Linked DNA regions of Rhinolophus ferrumequinum. The protein of the gene in region 2 purifies or fractionates together with the protein of the main gene of each other region. This does not show direct contact. Links are inferred from orthologs where the notes say so. Each region holds a gene or a part of one and is shown on either strand. Other genes may lie near its edges.

Region 1 (7,079 bases), on a different chromosome or scaffold from region 2:
CTTCGCTGAAGTCCTCGATGGAGGTGGCGGGAGTGAAGACGTCCAGCAACCCGATGACCTGGCGGGGAGGGGCGTCAGGAGGGCGACCCGGCCCAGGCCCGCCGGCGCGCCACCGCGGGGAGTCCCAGCTCACATTCTCGTGCTTCAGGTGTTTGAGCAGCCGCAGCTCCCGGTACGTCCTCCGAGCGTGGATCAGTGACTGGAAGGGGCGCGACAGCTTCTTCACCGCCACCTTCTGGCGCAGCCGCGCGTCGTAGGCCGAGCTGCAAGGGCGTGGGTGAGGCGGCCGGCGAGGGCCTTGCGCTCACAGACACCCCCCGCCGCCACTCCTCTGCGGGGATGGCACCGCTAACCCACCCCTGCTCGCCCGCCGCTTTCCTCCCTCGGCCCGTTTGCTCCAGAGGATCTCTCGGGGCTGTACCGCCATCCGTGTGCTGCCGCAGGGTCCCAGGGATGAGAATGTGACCTGCTCGGCCTCTGAGCCTCCTTCCTCAAGAGGCAACTCCCCCTCCACGGCACCCGTACACGCAGGCCTTCCCAGCCTGCCCACCAGAGAGCCCCAGAGCAGGACTGGATCTTTTGTCCCCTCACCCCCACGACTCTCACGCCCAACTCAGCGAGGCTGGGAGAGCAAAGTGTCCACTGACCAGGGTGGAAATAACACACCAGAAAAACAGCTACTGGCTATTCCCACAGCAAACAGTCCCCCTCCCCCATGGGCTGTGGGTCTGGAGGCTCCCTGAAGGTTTCAGAGCTGCCTCCAAAGCCTCTGGATACGCAAAATAGGGAGGAAAAACTGGCATTATTACTTGCAACAGTGAGCAACCCGACAGAAGGAAATGTCTAGCCGAAGGTGGTATTTGCATCCACAGATCTTCCGTGGCTCAACCCGTCCTCAGAGGTCCAGACCCTCCACCTGCACACCCATCTCCTCTTCATGGGGAGACACAACAGTCACTGGCATCACCCCCCCCCTTGACGCCCACTGTGCCCAGGACAGGGCCCTGCTGAAGGCGACTAGCTCCACAGGCCGCTCCCTCTAACTGCTGCGCCTCCCTGACTCTTCACCTCCTGCCTCAGGACCTTGCGGAGTCCACACAGTCCCACCAGCAGCTCCTGCAGAACCAGGTGGTGGGGGGAGGAGAAGCCAGGTAGGCTCCTGGAGCATCTGTGCCCCTCCTCCTAGCCTGTGACCTGCTGGGGAAGGTTCAAGTCACTCCTGGGGTGGGAAGTAGGGGTGGGCCCCTCAGGTGGGGCAGCAGATCCTTTGGCCTCATTGTGTCTGTGCAGTGGAACCACAGGGAGTTGGCCCTGGGGGGACAGCTTCATCAGAGGAACAAGGGAGCCCAGGAGAGGGCTGTCACCGGCACTGGGCCTCATCAAGCTAAGTGCAGTGGAGAGAGACCTGGGCCTCCCTTGGGAGCTTGACACTCAAGAGGAATTCCCAGAAGGTGACTCTGGGCCAGAGGCAATTCCAGCGAGGGCTCGGTCAGATTCCCCAGGGGCCATTCACACTTTGTCCCTGACCCTCTTGCCCTTGCCATCTTAGAGATAAGACAGAGGCTGTGGCTAAAATGGCCTGCCTGAGGCTCCTGACAGCGTTGACAGCGTGAGATCAGAGACCATGGGGAACCCAAACCCCTCCTCCAGAGTCCAACACTGGGTCTCAGGTTCGGGTCCACTGGAAATCCCATTCTTTACCTTCCAGATCCTGGAGCAATGCCAGCCCCTCGAGGGCCCCTGCCTCCTCACCGCATGACCCCTGCAGTGGACAGCAGTCACCTGCTACTGGCATGGGTAAGGACCCCACTGAGTGCTGAGGGGGACACCTCTCAACATCCACACCCACGATCAGCTTCACTTTTAACATTACAAGTGACGCCGGGACTGCCTGCAACCACCTCACTCACCCTAAGCCCCCTGAAGCTTCCCCACCCTCCAGGGTAAAAGACCTCAGCGCTCGAACCCTCCGTCTCCCTTCCAGGCTCTGTCCTCTCTCTGGGCCCCAGGACCTAACTGTGGGGCTGTGGTCTTGAGCTCTTTTGGTTGGGACAAAAACAGGGTGGGGTGTACCCCTAAGGATTGTAGGGGTAGTGGCAGACGTCTCTGCTCAGGCCTAAGCCCCATCCAGACTCTTTTGCAAGACTGGGGAAGGGGCAGGACCCACGGGAAAGCCTGAGGCCATCCTAAGGGGAGGGGTCTTGCCCTCTCCCTAGCTGGGCTCTTTTACAAACCAAAGTACCCGCCCTAGGGCGGGGGCATCTGCCAGATCTCTGGGCTGCCAGAGCCTAAACGGGGCGACCCAGATGCGTGCTCGGACGTCTATGGTCCAGGAGACCCGCCCTTTCGCCGGCTGTGACGCCGCAGGATTCTGGCCTGGTGGGGGTCACTCTGGCTCAGAAGGAGCGGGAGACGACCCCTCTTCCCCCCCCGGAGCCGCGTCTGGAAAGTTTCCTTCCCGTCTCCCACCCCCCATTCATTCCCCAGATCCGCGCAGGGCCTGGGGCGGAGGCAGGGCGAGGCCCCTCCCCACTCAGGGAACCCCCGCCGGGCGGGGAGAGGGTGGTGGCGCGCGCTCAGTCCCTCCCCTGCCCCCCCCGCCCCGCCCCTACCAGACGGAACCGTAGGCGCCCGAGCCCACCGGGCGCAGCCCCTGTAGCCGCTGCGGCACCTCCCACACGGTCTTGTTCAGCTCCTGCCGGTAGAAGCCTGCGCGCGGACCCGACATGTCCGTCCGCGCCCCCCGCCGCACCGGAGCGCGAGCCGAACGCACGGAGGGCGGTGCGCGGGGCGGGGCTTCGAGGGGGTTCCCGGAGACAAGGCGGCTTCCTGCCCCTCCGAGGCACTGCTGAGCGGAAACCGGCACTCCTCCCGTCTCCCTGGGGCGGTCCCGGGGAGGATGGGCCTCCGCCGGGGGGAGGGGGAGGCCAGGATCCGACTTACAGCCCCTCCCGCTTATACCTCCTGGGGTCCATGCACCTCTCCAAATACCCGCCCGGGAGCCGCTGATCCAGGCCGCCACCGCCTCGCACCGCGCTCGGCTTCCCGCACCCTTCCAGCCCACACCAGCGCCGGCACCTCCCTTCTCCCCACCTCGGGTCCTGCACCCCGTCCCTCCCTGCTCCGGTGCGACACTTACAACTACTCCCTTCGCCTGCTCGGGTCCACGCGTTCCCCCTCCCCACACACCTGCTGCCGGGCCCTGCACCCCCGCCACCAGCTGCTTCCTCAGAAATGAAGTAGAACACTCAAAATCAAAGAAGCCAGGGCGAACCCTGGGAGACATTTCTCATCAACATAGAAAACACCGCCTAATAACAGCGAGGCACTGGGTTGAATCCGCCCCTCTGCGGTGGGCAGATGGCGCCTCGGTTCCTGGGCCAGCCTGGCCCCTCCCCGTGGAGGCCATTCTGGCTTGGGCGGTGAGGCTTGCCTCCGGGCAGACCTTCCTCTGACGTCGGCCGCCCAGCGCCTCTAGGGGAAACTGCGAGGCCTGTCAGGACCAGGGACAGCGGCGGCGCCCGGGGACCCTCCAGGGTGTTGTCCCCATAAGAAGCTTTCCCCAAATGGGTCTTCTTTGGTGCCTGGTACCTTTCCTCCTTCTGAAACAGCCCCGTCAACTGTCACCTCTTCCAGGAAGCCCACTTTGACTTTCCCAGGTATCGGGGAGCCCCTGTAGTTGGCAACCAACTGCAGTTCCCAGGGGCTGCGAACTCCTGCAACGCACTTTGCTTGAACGGTTCAGTTCTCACAGGCTAATAGGGTGCTCCCCTGTGCCAGCAGGATAGTCTCGCTCTCTGCCCAGCGCTCTGGGCCGGCGCATCTGCTTGTCTTTCCCCCTCCAGTGACTAGGGCTCGGAGGAAAGGACTCCCCTTGGATAAACGCCTCCTGACCCCCGCCCAGGCAGTGGCTGGGCTGCCCTTCCCAGGAAAGCCGGAAATTAGGCTCCTGAGTTGGGCAACCTTCTGCTTTTTCGAAACAAACTAAAACCTGAGTGTTGTTGTTTTAAGGAGGGCGCAGCTCACACTGGCCCATACGGGGATCGAACCGGCAACCTGGGTGTTATCAGCACCTCGCTCTAACTAACTGAGCTAACTGGCCACCCCAGTTATGGAACTCTCCTGATTTTTAAATATTGGCAACCAAATGAAAATAAAATACGTCAACGCAGAACCGGGCAAACAGACATGTCTGCTGGCGAATCCGGACTCCGGGGATTCGAGAAGTGAGAAAGGAAACGGTTTGAGTCCCAGCCACGCCCGCCACCCGAGCCACCGGCCCTCACTTCCCCCCCCCCCCCCCCCCGGGAGGCGGTATCCCTCCCCTCGCCACCCGCTCCGGGCCTCCTCCAGGGCCCCGCCCTGGGCTCCTTTCTCCGGTGGCCGAGGTTTTGTGCGGAGTTAATGGGGCTTCAGCTAAAGCCGAGGGCTGGGCGGGAGCTGAGCCGGGCTGTGGGAACCGGGCTGTGGGGCCCCGGGAAGGCCTGGCCTTTGTCTGCGCGGACCCGCGGGCTAGAGCGAATTCCCATGGCGACCGGCCGGGTCGCTGCGCGGAAGCTGGGCAACCCCGTGCTCTCCCCAGGGGTGGGGGAGTCCGCCTGCTCAAGGAAGCCCATGCCGGACCTTGCCCACCGCTCCCCCGGAATCCCGGTGGTGAGTGGTCAGAGCTGACCAGAGAGGAGCGGCTTCCCTGCCGGGCTCAGTGGATCATGCAGAGTGGGGACACTCACTGAGCAGCCCCACCACGTTGTCTTCTGGGGAGGGTCCGGGTTGTAACACTGCAGGGGAACGGCTAGGGAGAGTTTCCGGTGGGGGTGACGGCAGGCAGAGTAGGGCAGGTCGGGAAACCCGCTGGAGAGGGGACACTAGCAGAGCTGGGCCCGGCATCAAGAGAGCCCTGACTCTCAAGGACTTAAGGAACAGAAAGATGGGTGGCCCTGGGCAGAGGCCTGTGGCAGGCTGGTGGGGGAGGAGCACAGCCCGGATTTCCGACTTTTGACATCAGGGTGATGGGAAGTCTGCTGCATATTTTCCTAGCATCCCCCAGGCCACCACGTCAAGGTTGCCACCTCTGGGTGAGAGCACTGGACCTGGAGCAGCGGGTGGTGTGGGGCTGGGACAGCAGCTGGGAATGTGGTAAGATGGGGTGTGTTCACCTGGGGGACAGGGGGCTGAACAGAAGGGCCGCCTACCCAGGCCTGGCCTGTTCTCTCCACCCTGTGACTCATTGTCACCCCTAAATATCTAGAGCCCAGCTCTTCTCTCCACGTCCACTCATCCCTCCTCTGGTCCAGGCCACCGCCTTTTCAGCCCCTTGCTGGGCTAGCTGCACTTCTCCCAGAGGTCACAATAAACTTCTTAAAATGCCATTCTGGCTGGGGTGGGGGGGTAGGGTTCGGGCTCTTAAGCCAGGGGGTGGTGCCTGCAACTTGGAAGTAAAAGTCCAGGGATTCCGGCGGCCCCCTCCCATCACTGTCTCTCCCCACTCCCTCTACCTTGGAGAAAATGTAAGTGGAAAGCAAGAGGTCTGTCAGCATCCTGACCACTCAAGGCTGGCCTGCCCTTCCCATGCACCCCAACATCCAAGCCCGGTATCTACCCTTCACCAGCCCCACGGAAGGCCGGCCCTGGAGCATTCACACTCCTGTCCTCCAAGGCGGGCACCCCACCTGATGGACCTGCGGCCCTTCCCCTATCTCCACGCTTCAGAGCGGAAGAGGGTCTCACTGACTTCCTCATCTTCTTGCCTGGTTGTTGGGAGTGTGGAGGGTGGGAGGGCAGAAGTGGCCCACACAGGTCCAGTCTAAAAGCCAGGCCTCAATGCCCCCTGCCAGGCTCAGCACTTCCTCCTAACTCTGATTTAGCAGTAACTTGTTCAGATTTCCTGACTAGCTGTGACTCTGGGAAGCGGGGAGCCTAGTGTGCCCATAGCAGTGTCATTTCAGGGGTCCCTGGGCAGGGGCTGTCAGTTGTTTGCCTAGTACCCCTTCCTTGTGGGAGATACCCACCCTCGTTCCATGGGGCTTGAACGGGGCGCCCCCATGCATAGTGGCTCATGGTCAAGTCCTAGCCCAATGGGAGTCTCCAGTTATGTGCCCCGAGGGGAAGAGTCACAGGCTGGGGCTGCCTGCCACCAGCATCTCTGCTGCCCAAGGATAAACCCACATGAATTGGGAAGCAGTTCAGATGGCTGGGACCCAGACATGTGAGCACCTGGATCCAGCCATACCTGCAGCTGCACCACCTCCACTTCCTCATTCTGGAGCCGCCAAATCCCCTTTCTGCGTAGGCTGGTACTCTTGGGGCACAGGGGCTCCCCCAGAGCTGGCTGTGTCTGTCCCATTTACTGCTGTGTCCCTAGTGCCCAGGACAGTGCATGCAGCCTAAGGGGATGGACGCACAGATGCTGTGCACTCACCTGCACACACACGTGCCTGGTGGCTGCAGGTGGCACAGCTCAGAGGCCCTGCCCTGTGCAGGACATGACTGGGAGCTCCCCCGACTCTGGCATCAGCAAAGGTGCCAATTGCTCTCCCACACAGGGCCCTTGAGCCCTACTGATGCCCTGAGTCATCCTGGGTGGTTCAGGGGACAGAGGAGAAAACCCCCTAATGGCCCCACTGCCTCAAACAGGGGGACACCGGGCTGTCTACCCCAGAGCCAGCCGTGTCTGGTGGGGTCTGCATACAGTAAGGTAAGGGCTTACTAAATGTGTACTGGGGGGACCCTCACCTCAGAAAGAAACAGTCCCCGAGAACTCAAGGTCCAGATGGTAGGCTGATACCATGCCCACCCCTAGCCCCATGGCTCCTAGTGGCCCAGCCCAAAGGGGGTTGGGGGATGTGTTGGCCACCAGAAGGTGTCCGGCCAGCCCAATCCCCCAACTTCCTTGCCTGGTAGGGCTGCCTCCTTGTACCTCTCTGGAACCACAGTCCTTTCTGGGATCTCTTTTGGGCCTGAGCTGCCCCCAGCCCCTCCCATACCCGAGGCTTCATCTGCCAACACTTGACCATCCTGGTCTCTGGGGCGGCAGAGCAGGGAAGGTGTGGACTCAGTCAGCTGGTGGGCATTAGCCTCTG
Region 2 (7,116 bases):
GACAAGTCATTGCCTTGGGGGCTTAGCTCCCTCCTGCCTTCATTTATTTCAGTCACTGTGAGAAACTCACTAGGGCTTCCAGGTCCAGGGCTGGCGGCAAAGAGATGGTCCCAGACCAGACCAGGGGGTGATGGCTCCAGGGGTGCCAGGAGAGATGCAGAGAGGTGCTGGTGCACCCTGACCCCGGGACAGTACGTGACACAGCCTGGCTTTGGGCCTTGGTCTGGGTGCAAGGAACCAAAGGAGGCCCAGGCTGGGCCTTGCAGTGTTGGGAGGGGCCAGAGGAGTGGTGGGGGGATGCAGCCAGACAGGGTCCTTAGTACTGTGACAGAGCGGGAGCAGACCCTTGAGGAACAAGGTAAGAAAAACCCAAAGCATCCCCAGAAGCCCCCTCCCCCCTCCTCTCGCAGACATCTGAGCCAGTGCAAGGGGTCAGAATGAGCCCCAGCCTGCGCTGGACTCACTGCCTGTTTCATATATTATCTTCTTTCCCGTGATGAGATGGCCTCACTCGAGAGGCACATTCCTGGAGGTGGGGGGGGGGGGAATGAGAGATGTTGCCAGAAAGGCAGGTAAGCCACTCATAGAGGTCTTCCTCAAAGTGACTGGCGGGTCGCAGCAGTTTGGTCCTTCCACCCTCAGTGGCTCCCCTCTCTCCTGGCCCCATTCAGCCCTCAACTTCCCTTGAACAAGCCAGGAAGTCATCTGCTTCCCTCTCTCCTACCCTTCCACCGAGTGGGGGCTGGAAGGGCTCCCAACTCTCCCCCCTCTTCCCTCTCACCTCCTTTTGCCTGTCCAGCCAATGGGTGTGGGCGTCTGGCTCTCTCCCAGCACAAGGATTATATCATCTGTAATGTATATCCAGACACACACGCCGCTGCTTGGGAGGACAGGAGAAGGGGAAGGAGCCAACACAGCTGGCCGGAGGGGGTTTATAACCAGGTTATTGAACCTGAACCTGAGCCCTCCCGGAATGGGGGTGTTAATGGCTCCTGAGAACCTGGCCCCTCAGAAATCAATCTCAGCACAGGCGGGCTCTCTCGAACTCCCCTCCCTCCTGCTCTAGCCTGGGGCTGCCTCACCCTTTCACCTCAGCTGCAAGTGCAGATCTGGGAGCCGTCACCAGGGCCATTTGATTTCAAATGTCCGGATGTAGCCCCACTGGGAACTGCAGCAAACAGGTTGGGTGCCCTGGAACAGGGTCTAGAATGTGCTTCTGAAGGTATGGCAACTGGTATCACGTCTAGAAGATGCTGGCTAAGGTGCCTCTGATGGGGGAGGAGAGACTGAAGCCTGTTATCCAGTGGTGGCCTGGGGGGAGCGGTTGTCAGGTGAGCAAATGGCTTCAGCTGTAGGTATTGCTCTCAGTAGGACCAAATGGTTGCCCAGAAATAAAGCCTTGTGCATGTACCCAAGTGCCAGCGTCCCTCAGATGGGAGCAGGGTCTCTAAGCAGGGGCCAGATGGGGTGGGCCTCTCCTCAAACCTCCACTTACTTGTAAAGTAGCCCAGAATTGAGACCTGGAAAAGGTGAACAGAGCAGGTACAGGTGCCTTCAGCCAAAGGCCCAGTCTGTCAAAGCAGGGCCAGCAATACGCATGGCCAGGCTGAAGACCTCTCCATCCCAAGCAAGGCCCAGCTTTCTGCCCCTCCACCTTGCCAAGGGCCGGCAGTTCCTGGTCCCCCGCTGAGAGCCTTGGGCTTCTGGTGAGAAAAGGGGCATGGCCAGAGAGGAGAGAGTGAGGGCTAGAGCTGCCCAGTCACCCCACCCTCAGATAGGACCTGAACACACGGGCGTGGCTTCCAAGATGGAGGCCAGCTGTGCCTTTAGAACAACCTGGATTCCGACATGGTTGGCTTCGTACTCAAGTCCTCTTCAAGAACATTCTCCATTTTATTCTTCAACAGGGCACAGGCCAGGCCTTGCTGGCCAAGACAGGTCTCCGGGGGTGAGGAGGGAGGTCCCATTTTCTGAGGCAGAGCAGGCCTGTGCCTTCAGAGCTCCTGGGCCTGGCCTGGCCATTGTATTAGCCTTCTTCTCTTCCAGTCTGGTGAGTCTTGTTGCCTGGAGAGCACAGGCACTGTGGGAGGGTAGGATGGGTGTTTTGCAGGGGTGGGGGGCACCATCAATCAATCCAAATGTTCCTCCTCCAGCCCTTCAGCCCTGAGTCACTAAAGCGCAGGATGGGGGGGAGGGAGGGAGTTGGTTATCCAATCTTTCCAGAAACTTCTCTGTGAGTCAGCTCACCAAGCCTTTGCCAGGGGCCAACTGAGTGCCCAGGCCATGGGCACAGCCACCATGGTCTTCCCCAAATGGGAGGACCACCAACGGGTGACAGCTGGCCCCATCTTTTTCAGTCTCCATGTATTTTCATGTTTTGGCTGACAAAATGGCCCTATTGCTATATGGCACAGAGTTTAGCGTATGTTGATTTCTTAGCAAAGGCCCCTAAATTTCAGGACAACCGGCAGGGCTATCAGAGAAGCACAGCGTCCAGCGGGAGGTCCTGCACACAGTTCTGTCTGCTCACCCATGTGGTGGAGGTTGCACAGTTCTGCTCCACACTGGATCCCTAATGCTGAAGGAAAGGAGAAAGGACAGCCCAGCCCCAGGAAGCACCCTGGGCCTGCCTGGCAGATGCACCTACCAGCAGGTGCAGCCCAGAAAGGGCCTGAGTGGTCATCTGCTGAGGCTGGAAGGGGCCAAAGGGCAGGGCGGGCATGCAGCCTGGTGGCAGCAGGACCCTGTCCCAGCTCACACATAATGGATTAAAACCGCCCTGAAGCTAGGAGGGCCCTTGGAAATCAAGAGGTCCTCCTTTCTACCCAAATGTACAGATGAGGAAACTGAGGCACCAAAGACAAAGCTGTCTGCCTCCTCTCTCTTCCAGAGGTAATGACTCAGGGGAATTCAGCACTGTCGCAGACATGAGCCAGGCGGCCAGGCCTCCCTTGGCTGCCCCTCATCCATGGAGTGGCTGGCATCCCAGTTCTGCCAGCCTCCTTAAAGATGTCATCCCATCCTGTCCTTGCCTCATTCTGATCTCCCTGGGCTGAGAAGGGAACCCCCTGCCAGAAGCCAGCCCACAGCCTCATGCTGGTTCTCAGCATCCCTCATGTCTCGTTCCAGGGCTGAGCCCCAGCTCACCTGACTACTGGCCTGGGAGCCCCTGTGTGCTCCCCCCTGCCTCCCTCCCTGCCTCCCCCTCCCCACAGCGGTGAGCAATCTGGGAACCGGTGGGCCTTCTTGTTCACACTCAGCTGAGGCTTGGGGAACTCAGCCCATCTCAGCCCACTGGGGCTCTGCCACGACATTATTGCCTGACCACCAGGAAACCACTGCCTTGGTTTCCTTAGCTATGGCATGGGAATAGTCTCCTCTGACTCCCAGACTGGTGCAAAAGCAAAAGGAGTTCCTTGATGGGGGATGCCTGTGGCCTTCCGTGCAGAGGAAAGCACACTGGGCCTCCTGACAACACCCCCTTCCAACCCCTCCCCCAAAGTCCTGGCTCCACCCCTTCCAGGCACCGAAGCTCAAGCGATATTACTATTAGCCAGAATCTGATACGTGAGATTGGGAGAGGACAGTGCAGGGGAGCCTGAGGGTTGGGGGCGCTTGCAGTGTAGTCAGCTGGACCTTAAGCCCTCACCCCTGCGGCTGCAGGAAGTGGCCCTGGTGGCCAATCTGTGCCCGGTCCTCGATGGGCCCCTTCAGTTCTCTTGCAGAAAGCAGGGGTGCCAGTGGAGACTCTTCGGTGCAACCCTCCCCCAGCCTAGGCCCAGGCCTAGGTCAGGGCACCCCACCCCATTCCTGTTCCCCAAGCTCGTGGCCCCCACGCAGCAGGGCTGTTGGGGGGCATCCAGACAGGGGCCTGGGTGGGCAGAGCGAGCAAAGGCTTTCAGGTGGGTGGAAGGCGGGCAGGGGCGGGGGAGGTGGAGGGAGACGCCGGGCAGGCTGCGGCCCCTCCCCGCTCCCTCCCTGCGCGCCGCCGGCGACGGTGCCCCTCCTGGGCAGGGGGCGGAGAAGACGGCGACGGGAGGGGAGGAGGCGGCGGCGGAGGCGGGATTTGGAGTTTCCCTCCGCTGCGGCGGCGGCGGCAGCCCCTCGGCTCTAGGCGAGGCCGCCGCCCGAGGCTCCGGTGGCGGTCGGCGGCAGTGGCGGTGGCGCTTCCCGCCGCCCCGGCTTTGGAAACTTCCCGGCCGCCACGCGCGGAGCCGGCGCAGGAAGCCGAGCGGAACGGAGGTGAGCAGAGGTGAGCGGAGCACGCGGCGCCAGAGCACCCACCCCCACCCCACCCCACCCCCACCCCCACCCGGCCTGGCCGCCCTCCGACGTGCGCTCCTCCACCCTGCACCCCCAAAGTCTTGCCAACGCACACCCCACGGGGCCGACGCACGCGCCCCTGTGAGACACACTCGGTCCTGCCACCGCACACCCCCTGCATCCCGACCGTTGCACCTCCGGTGTCGTCCACCACGCACACCCCCTGCCACTTACACTCCCGAACACAAACCGTGCACCGTGGACCCAGGTCCCTGCAGTGCAAATCCCAGTAGCCCGGAACCCACCACTGTCCCCAACTCAGGCCAGCACCCATCACAGACCCTGCCACGCCTCAGTACACACCCCGGTTCACACATACTCCCAATACATCCCTGCACTCTCAGCACTAACCTAGCTCCCCTCGGTGCCCCCACCATCTCCGACTCCCCATATGCTCATTACAGACACCCCACCCACGTTCCCAGCCCAGAGACATTGCAATCCACCCACCCCCAAGCGAAGCCCCAACACTACCCCACACCACAGAGGCTGACACTCCCCAGCTCGCACTCTCAGGCACCCCAACATGTATGCACACCTGCTGGATCCTCTCTCTCCAGCACCCAGCCCCGCCCCCATCGCAAATAGCCTTCAACAGCCCCCAGAACATCCCCGAGTCCCTCCCACCAGCACCCCCAACACCTGGCACGCGGGCTCTAGAGGCTGCAGCATTTGGTGACATCCCTGCCAGGCGCCTCTGGCTCGCCTTGGGCAGCAGCTTGCCATCCTGAGGGGCCCCAGGTGCCTCCCTAAACAGACCTTGAGTCTCCCCAGCGACTGGCTTGGTCTCTTCCCTAAGATAAAGAAGGCACTTAGGGCACAAGGTACCGTACTTAGATGTCGGGGCACCGGGAGTGGGGGTGAGGAGGAGGCAGAGAGGCAGGCACTTAGATGGAGGCGGCAGCACATAGTAGGTCGGTGCCACGAGGACAGGAGTTCACCCAGTGTGTGTGCCAGTCTGCGTGTGTGTTGGGAGGAGAGCTGTGTGTGCACGTGTGCTTGTGCATGTCTGGGGGGAGTGTGTGACCCGCTGAGAGAAAAAGCAGGAGCAGCACCCTCATGGGCTCCCTCGTGCAACAATTGGTTTCATTCATTCATGCCTTCTTTGTTAACGAGCATTTCTTCCGTGAGCGCCCGGCTGGTGCCAGGCCCTGCACTGGGAGCTGAGGCCAGCTTGGGGCCGGGCACACACCCGCTCCTGCCTTGGAGGAACTCCCAGTCCCGCGAGGAGACCGACCAGGAAAAGCAGAAAGCCATCCCCAGCAGAAAGTGGATTTGGTGGAAAAGACACTGGATTTGGCAGGAACGCTGTCGCTGGGAGTTGTGCTCCCGACCATGTGACCTGGCCGCGACAGCCGAAATCCTGCCACTCGGCCCGGCGGGAACCGTGCATTTTGGAATGGGGGGGATGGAGGGAGAGGCGGGGCGCCCCTCTCCGAAGGCTCTGGGGACCAGAGGGCGCACGCGGCGCGCACCGGGCCTAACGGCGGCAACGTCCCCGTGTCCTCCCAGGGGCAGTGGCCTGGCCCAGCGGAAGCCAGGGGTGCCCTGCGTGGGCTGGGGCTGCGGGCGCAGCGCCCACCCTGCGGCGAGCGCGCGGCCTGGCTCCGCCCGCCGGAGGGAGCCTGGTGAGGCCCCAGCGCGCAGCCCGCCTTCCCCTCCCCAGCCCGCCCGGGAGTCGGGTGCGGGGAGGGGCCGGCGCCCCGAGCAGGCGCTGCCGAGGCCCGAGTGCGGAGCGGGCCTGGCGAGGGTCGGGGGAGGGGGCCTTGGCTGCGTTCAGCCCTGCAGTGCGGAGGTGGCAACAGGTTCCAGTTTGTACTGCTGCTAGCGCAGCGGGCGCTGCTGGCGCTGGGCACAGAACACTCGCTTTCCCCGCTGGAGGGCTTGCCAGCAGGGTTGGGAGAAAGGTGCAGGGGAGCCACTTTTCAGGCGTCGGGAGGCGAGGCCCGCACAACCCCACCCCGGAGGGGGGGGGGTTTCTTGGAGCCTAGCTTCCTCTCCCTTCACCACTGTAGAAGTTGCCTCCCTCCGCATCCTCATCTTCCCAGCCAGGCTCCCATCACCTCCTCCAGGAAGTCCTCTCCAGATAGCATGCCTGGGCCCCTGTGGAGTACCTACCTCCCTTGGGGTTGGTGGCCCTCTCTCCAACTATACTGAGCCCCCATTATATAGTGGGTAGGGGCATGTGTCTCTCCACTTCCCTATCAGACGGACTTTGCCACCCTCAGTGCCTACAACCTGGCCAAGCCAGGCACCCCAGGCTGGCACATTACAGATCACTTTAGTGCCTTCAACCCCTGGCCACTCCAGGGTCCCACTCACAGCTGCAGCAGGCCTGGAGGGAATCCCCAGGCTTGGGGCGCATGGCCAGGTGGCTGCCCACCTCTGCCTCTGGGAGTGAGGATGGAGGTATAGGAGACACTGGAAGACAGAGTCTCTGCCCCAGAGTACTCAGGACAGGGAAGTGGGCCCCACTTCCTCCCAAACTGCAGCTCTTGGGCATTGCAGTCTCAGAGAGCTGAGGTCTGGAGCGCAGAGGAGGGAGACAACAAGCTGGCCCAGGAGAGAAAGGCTGCCTGGAGGAGGGCACCTTGAGGGGGCCTGAAGGAGCAGTCTGGACAGGCTGCAGAGTAGGGAGGCCTGGCCTGGGCATAAAGGGGCACATACCAGCTGCCTCAGGCCCCTGGATGCTGGTGGTGGGACTCATCCCAGAGGCCAGGACGTAGTGGGCTATGGCCAGAGATGAAACCCAGGCTGGTGACCCACTGGGTCAGGGAGGGAGGGATGGGGTGA

The links. The genes of interacting proteins can lie anywhere in the genome.
Region 1: the proteins of DUSP9 (region 2) and MAPK11 purify together in Homo sapiens (affinity purification with mass spectrometry; 4 studies listed by BioGRID and IntAct, with this or other methods). This does not show direct contact. The link is inferred for Rhinolophus ferrumequinum from reciprocal best matches to the Homo sapiens genes DUSP9 and MAPK11.

The regions. Positions count from the first base shown.
Region 1 is NC_046293.1:431,558-438,636, reverse strand, and holds the start of MAPK11 (mitogen-activated protein kinase 11), read right to left. Parts: upstream 3,084-7,079; 5' UTR 2,729-3,083; coding exon 2,613-2,728; intron 264-2,612; coding exon 134-263; intron 59-133; coding exon 1-58. UniProt on the Homo sapiens protein: Serine/threonine kinase which acts as an essential component of the MAP kinase signal transduction pathway.
Region 2 is NC_046284.1:6,765,775-6,772,890, reverse strand, and holds the start of DUSP9 (dual specificity protein phosphatase 9), read left to right. Parts: upstream 1-4,076; 5' UTR 4,077-4,242; exon of another isoform or gene 4,243-4,252; intron 4,253-7,116. UniProt on the Homo sapiens protein: Inactivates MAP kinases. Has a specificity for the ERK family.